Linked DNA regions of Tamandua tetradactyla. The protein of the gene in region 2 purifies or fractionates together with the protein of the main gene of each other region. This does not show direct contact. Links are inferred from orthologs where the notes say so. Each region holds a gene or a part of one and is shown on either strand. Other genes may lie near its edges.

Region 1 (3,752 bases), on a different chromosome or scaffold from region 2:
TATAATAATAAAAGGGGAACTGAAAAGGGATTATTTGGAGTTATAAAGAGAACCAGTGGATGTAAGAATAAAAATGTAACCAAATGAACTAGGAGATGGAAGGGAGAAGGATAGATGGAAAGGAGTGTAAGGATGGCAATTTTATCATGCTTCACAGCTGGGAACAGAACCCAAACCAGCAATAGGTTACATACCAGACAAGCATCTAAAACAAAGGGAGTACAGGAACAAAGCAAAAGGGTATGAAATGCCACCCAACCATCTCAAAGAACGAATCACTGAAGCGTGCGATGGCACAGATGCATTGCCAGTGCCTCATGCCATGAGAGCAAAGCCACTCTGAAAGTCGAGATGCTGTGTAATTCCATTTATATGAAATTCTGGAAAAGTCAAAACTATAAAGACAGAAAACAGATGAGTGGGTGCCAGAGGCAGGGTTGGGGGAGGGGACGGATAGTGCTTGATGGGGTAATGGACTGTTAATATCTTAACTGAGGTTGGGGTTACATGATACTACGTATTTACCAAAAATCACAGAGCTGTATACCTCAAAGGAATGATTTTTCCTGTATGTAAATTATATCTCAATAAGTGCAATTTATCTGAATTTTTAAAAAGGTATAAGGATGGTCTAAGATATATCCAATAAATACTAATGAGAAATTCAGGGCCCATCATATCAAAATTCATTTGAAAGTTTGCATATAAGACAAAAAATACGAAAGGTCTAAAAAGAGTTACTGCATATAATGTTCAAAAGTCTAAACTGTCATAACTCTGTACGTATCAAATAACACAGCAAAAGTTAACACTGAGCATGCATCCAGGGCATGCAAGAAAATACTGCTGAACACTTAAGTATGAGCAGGAGCCTGTTGATCAAACTTGTTGGCTCATGATACCTGGCACTATTAAGAATGTGGTAGGAATGTAAAACGTCAAAAGCTCTGTGACCTTTCTGGATAGCAACTTGTCAATATACGTCAAATTGAAACTCACATCCTTGGATTTGGTAAAGCCAACCTGTCTGAGTTTATCCCGCAGAGAGATTGCTTAAAAGCCAAGTACTGGAATGAATTATGTAACTGGGATCACTCATGTCCTCAGGTTGACCCACATAGGTGTGGGAGTGGACCCAGTGCAGGTAAGAGCTCACCAAAATGTTACTGCAGCTAAGGTGTGCTCCAATTGAATGAGGTTGGGTCTTAAGCTGGACTGCTGGAGTCCTTTATTAGCAGGAGAAATTCAGACATAGTGAGACAATGCCACCGGGATGAGCTGGAAGCTGGAAGAGAAAGGAGAGGACACTGCCACGTGATGGGGAGGCCCAGGACCATTCGCCAGCACCAGGCTACCAAGTCTGGGAGGAGAAAGCAGCCTTCTAGCCAACGCCTTGGACTTCTGGCCTCTGAAAGCCTGAGCCAGTAAACGCCTATTGTTTAAGCCTTGCAAACCAAGACAGACAGGTATAAAATATCTTAGGGCAGCATTATTTGTAAACAACAAGAGCCTCTATCGACAGGTACTGGCTAAATAAACGATGGTACACATTTGCGGGGAACAGACGGCCAGAAAAGGGGTGATGCGGTTAGGTGTGAGCTGGCGTGGACAGCTCTGCAAGAGAAATGATGATGCTACAAAATTCAGCGCCCATCGACATGTGTAGTATGACCTTTGCATGATACATAAAAAGCAAGGGATACCTCTGAAAGTTTCTCCAGAAGGGATAAGCTAGCACGGGGTAACCACGGTTTCCTTTGGTGGAGAAACCCTCAGCACTGCCCTTAAAAGGCTTACCCTCTTCACCGGGCTGGAGAAAAGGAAAGACTGTCTTAGAGCAAGTCAATTTCTAACCGAAGTTGACTAAGGAGAAGGTTGTGGGTTCAGACCCCGCGCATGGCTGTCCAGGTAAGCTGGGACGACTGCGGGCCATGCCACAGCAAGCGGGCCCCAAGCGGCAGGACCGGCTCCAAGCTCACCTGCAGATTCCACGTCTGCTTCACGTATTCCCGGATGAGGTTCTCCTTCAGGTCCTCAAAGGGCCCGGTCTTGGGCTGCACCCCGGCCGGCCGGTTGCAAGGCTTCTTGAGGAGGCAGATGAGGCCGTCGCACTCCTGGGAGTGGTAGAGGCAGAGCTCGGCGGGGCTGGCGTGCGTCCTGCCGCCCGCGATGGCGTAGCTGCCGTTCAGCTCGCGCTCGATGGTGTAGTGGTGAGCCTTCCTGCTGAACGCCACCGACAGCGCAAACCCGCCCAGGTAGTTGCGGCTCTGGCGCAGCAGGTACAGCCCGTCGCTCATGCCCCCCTGCACCAGGTAATCCTCGGCCTCCTCCCGCGTGATGTTGCCGAAAAAGAAGGGCAGTTGGCCCGCGGCGTCGGACGCGCTGCTGGCCATGACCGCCACCTCCCGGCCCGCAGCTCCGGAGTGAGCGCGCACAGGGGCGTCCACCTGGGGAAAACAGAGGCGAGAAAAGCGTTGGTCAGCGAGGACACCATCTGCCGCCTTTAAAACCGGAGGCAAATCCTCCCAGTTCAGAACAGAATCTCTTTCCTCTTTCAACTCGGTGGCACAGCCCCAGCACGCTAACTTCATTATTTTAGTTTCCAAATAACCCGCCACCCCCACCCCCTGAACATTTAACCTAAAAAGAAAGCAGTTCACAAAAGTCACCAAATCAATTATTTTTTTTTTTTGGTGGGGGTAGACAATTCTTAAGAAAGAGACACGCTGAAAAGAGAAGTATTATTGCAAAACAGGGTTGACCAGCAGCTGCCCTGATGGTGGGCAGACGGCTGTACAGCCCAAGCGTGAATTTAAACCAGTTACTTCTCTTGAGATTTAGGACAGGCAGCAAAGCGAAGCAGCCAGACCCTGTGCTGGGCATCTGCCACTTCCCATCCGAATCGACATTAAAGAAAAAGTGTAGCTTCCACAACTGACGATGGTGCTGCTATGGAAAAAATGTTCACAAAGGCACATTTAAACTCCACAAGGGATGTCTTCTTCAGAAGAGAAAAGGGGAGGCTCTTGTATTTTTCATAGGGAAAGTGTTTTCTCTCCATTGTGAATATGTAAAACAGGACACATATTGTTAGTCCAAAAAGTAGCCAGAGAAGTGTGTATTTTAACCAAAAGGGGTTGTTATCAATAGATAATTATCTAGATAACTCCACCAGTTCCTAGAGAAACCTCATGTTTTCATGCTACACACACATAAGATGACGCAAAAACAGCCTTTCAATGTGAGTTAATTACACGTGGTTGTAAAACATAAGAACACCTGCCTCATAGAAGTATTAGAATTTTCTCTAGGCAATATCATCAAATAATGCCTCTGGGTGAGCCCCAAATAAAATAGAGGATTTAATTATACTTGACAGTACAAGGAAATGATTTTCTTGCTGAGCTTCTCATTAAACCATCAACGACTAATTTCTCTTTGGCCAACAAGTTTCTAAAAATTCACCTTTCAGCAAGATTTGTTTTCAAAGAAGAATCCATATTTGTTCTAAAATATAAGAATGCTATTGACAAAAAAAGTATATATATATACTTTTTTGTCAATATATGTATGTATATATATATATATATATATATATATATATATATATATAGAGAGAGAGAGAGAGAGAGAGAGAGAGAGAGAGAGAGAGAGAGAGAGAGAGAGAGATGTCCTTGGAAAAATAGTGAATTGGTGTATCTTTTGGAAGGAAAGGTTACCCCTTTTTTTTCCTCTCAAGCAAATCTGTCCAT
Region 2 (3,752 bases):
CAAGAACTTTGAGCACAAAATAGGTTTATGTTAAGGACTGGAAATGGAATGAAAAAGTGTTTGGAATTTAGAGACTACTAGGGAGTTCTCCCGGAGTTTTCCTACACACCTGTTCTGTCCTTAAGTTATGGACCAGTGCGGGGCACTGTACCTTTCCCTCTCCCGCAGGAAAGGTGAGGGATATTTATCCAAGGTGCCCAGAGAACATCAAAGCAGAAAAATCAGCTTCTATAAATATTAAGCTAAGGGCCACCAGGACATGCCTGGAAAAATCCAAAATTCCTCTCCTTCCTCCCCTCTCCTATCTCCCTCCTCCCTGACCCCCTTTCCCACCTTCTCTCCCTCTCCATCTCCTTCTCTCTCTCCTGAGTCTTTCTTATTTTTACCCCTTATGTTGTTTATTAGGTTATTCTATGGGATGACCCTAGCCACTTAACTAAAGTAGCTTTCAATTGAAAAAATGTCTTTAACATTTAGTTCCCCACTAAATTTAAATGGCTGCCTTAAAATCAGAGTAATCTCCTTCTACTGACTGACACCTCTGCCTCACGTGTCTCCTGAGCACAGATGATCTGTGAGGTAGAATTCCTGCCTTCACAGCCTGAGGCTGGCCCAGACAGCTCAACAGATGGGACACAGCCCAGGGACCACATTCCTTATACAGTCAGCCATGCTTTCTCTTTCCATCTGAAGTAACAGATGTCAACGTAATCAAATATAATACACTCTATTTTATATTCAAGAAGTGTTTAAAAAAATCATCCTAGTTATATAACGTAACTGTATAATAATTACTAATATTTCATGTTTAATTTTGTTTCTTACAGGCAACTTCAAAAGATGGTCCATGATATCAAGCACAACGAAGGTGGAATAATGAACAAAATCAAAAAGTAAGTTAAACATCAGGGCACTATAGAAACCATTTTAATATGTCAACCAGTGCTAAGTGGAAGAATAGAAAGTTCTGTTACCCGAGTGAGGAGTTACAAGATCTTTGGCCTGTAACGCTCTCTCACTCATGACTGAGTCCCTGCCGGTTAACCACAGGCGAGTGAGTGGGGGGGTGCCCGGGGCACTGTGCCTTTCCCTCTCCCGCAGGAAAGGTGAGGGATGCTTATTCAAGGTGCCCAGAGAACATCAAAGCAGAAAAATCAGCTTCTATAAATATTAAGCTACGGGCCACCAGGACATGCCTGGAAAAATCCAAATAAGTTACAGGAACAGAGTCCTTAGCTTCTACAGTGCCAGGCTGTTTGCTCTATTTTGATTTCTGTTCTCTCAACTATTGCCTTAAAGTGGTATTTTCTGCTGATACTTGGAGAAGAAAAGCTTGAATCTCAAATGTCCTATACACCAAAAACCTCTTAAGCCTTTTTTTAAAAAAGAAAATAGAAATGTACATATCTGCATTTGTTACTCAAAATGTAAGAGGAAAAGCGATGTAATATTTTGTAAGAATTTTGTTTGCTTCTTTTCTTTTTTCTTTTTTTTCTTTTTAGTGAAACATAATACATATTCACCAGGTAAAAAAAAATTAAAGAGTTGAGAATTATATGAAGTAAAAACCTCTCGTTTCCCCATACCTCCACCCTAACCCACTCTTCCCAAACAGATATTATCATGAGTTTGGCATATATATATTTACACACACACACACTGACACAGATATAGTACATACCAATACACATAAACCTTCTCTTCATGGATGGTATCATCTTATACAGACTGTTCTGCTAGTTTGCTTTGTTGGTTTGCTTTACTTAATGCTGTATCATGGGCGTTTTTATCTTTGTAAAAAAAAACTATATTCCTTTTTGAACTCACGATTAATAGTCTGCTGTAAATGCATTATGGCCTATTTAACCAATTTTATATTGGTGGGCATTTTTAAGGAGGGTGGAGATTCAAATTGGTACCATAGCTTTGGAAGGCACTTTGATAATAGAAATCTAATTTTTTTTTCGCTTAACTGTCACAAATAATACCGTGATAAATATGCTACACACTTTCAATACCCAAGTAAGCTAAATTCCTGAAATGAAATTTCTGGATGAAAAGTTGTATGCCCTTAAAATTTTGATTACTATCACCAAATTTCCCTAAAACATTTTGTATCACCAAAGAGTTCATTTTCTCCATGCCTTCAGCACAGAGTATTTTCATTTTTTTATCTTAAGTAAATTTATAATTAAGAAGTCACTTTGGGTAGTGATGTTAGACTAGAATATGTAAAAAATATAAAGGAGTTTCACTTAGTGTACGCGATCATCATAAAATAGTGAAAATGTGCCCCTGCTTGTGGGATAGTGGTCATCTTAGAAAGACTTTTGTCTTTTTGTTCTGGGATATAACTGGGAGAGGTGTGCAATTACTTTTATTTTGATGTTATTTCTGATACGCATAGAATCCCATTCAAATGAGGGAACACTGCTGTTGATTGTAACAATGACTGTAAATTCTAGATCAATCGATCTAGAATCCCATAGTTGCCAATTTTACGATACACCAGCTTCCTCAATGATATGGAGCTTTTGTACAAAATGTCCCTCAATTCCATGGTAAGTCATCATCTTACAGTAACCATAGATCAAGAGTTTTCTTGGACAGTTTCCATTTCAAACATTCTGTCCATTGTCCCCAAAAGTGCTTTTACTTGACAAGCCATGTTTTTTTCCAGCTTGGTTGGGAAAATGTGGCGGCCATAGTCATTATTCTGGGAGAACTTAATGACCCTTTGGTTCAAAATGAGGTGCAGTGAAGCTCTCGCTCGAAACCATGCAGCAGGTGCTACCTTGAAAGGAGGAAGCACGGTCGAGCACCCTGGTTCTTTTACATAAGACTGTGACGGAGTCCTCGCTGGTCTGTGGCCAAGTGAGAAAATAAGAACCTTGAAGTATTAGAGTTCGCTGTGCAGCTGCAGGCTGCAAGCAAGATCCAAACCCTGGCCTCTAGTCCCTGTCGGTGCTCAGTGGCCAACAGTCCTTCCTTAAGTGAATCCTTTATTCTGAGATTATAACCTCCCTACATTTAGAAATATTAAAATACCATTTTAAAACCCCATTTAAAATGCAATTTCTTTCACAAAACGATGGCAATATAGTAGCTGGTTTGTGGGTTTTGTTGTTTGTTTTGTTTAGCTTTCCTGGTCCTTGAACAGGCCTTGCACCATATCCAGTTTTTTCATTTTTTTTTCCCTGCAATACCTTGTGCAATCTCTCTCTGGGCCTCATCATAGGAATAAGGGTAACATTTTCCCAGCACACCCTGATGGTTTGCTACAAGGATTGAATAAAATGGTATGAGAGCCTTTAGGGTGACAAAGAGCAGAATTGCTACACAAGTACAAATCTTTTATTTTTGAAAAATTATAGGTTTTATTATTTTTATGGTTTGTAGGGGATTTTTTTTTTATAACAAAACATGAGTTTTGGGATACTTTTCTTTTGCAAGAAATGAAATGTATTTTGTATGAAATGATTATTTTATTTCATAGATAAATGTAATAAATGCTTCTATAAAAGGATATGAAGTTCTGGTAAATGTTACTTGATATTGGTTTTATTTATAATTTATAAATTTCATTAAGGAAATAATTTAAAATGATATTTTAAAGAGTTAAATTACTGAAAATATATAGATTTATTTTGTTATTTAAAATACATAAACTATTATTAAGATTAATAATGTTCTATAAACCTTGCCTATTTCAAATAATGGAAAGGTAGATATTAGAACTTATGAAAAGTCTA

Evidence for each region.
Region 1: the proteins of BLNK (region 2) and SYK purify together in Homo sapiens (affinity purification with western blotting; 3 studies listed by BioGRID and IntAct, with this or other methods). This does not show direct contact. The link is inferred for Tamandua tetradactyla from reciprocal best matches to the Homo sapiens genes BLNK and SYK.

Annotation. Positions count from the first base shown.
Region 1 is NC_135328.1:8,769,017-8,772,768, forward strand, and holds the start of SYK (tyrosine-protein kinase SYK), read right to left. Parts: upstream 2,501-3,752; 5' UTR 2,394-2,500; coding exon 1,980-2,393; intron 1-1,979. UniProt on the Homo sapiens protein: Non-receptor tyrosine kinase which mediates signal transduction downstream of a variety of transmembrane receptors including classical immunoreceptors like the B-cell receptor (BCR).
Region 2 is NC_135339.1:57,440,081-57,443,832, reverse strand, and holds the start of BLNK (B-cell linker protein), read left to right. Parts: upstream 1-1,618; 5' UTR 1,619-2,385; coding exon 2,386-2,561; intron 2,562-3,752. UniProt on the Homo sapiens protein: Functions as a central linker protein, downstream of the B-cell receptor (BCR), bridging the SYK kinase to a multitude of signaling pathways and regulating biological outcomes of B-cell function and development.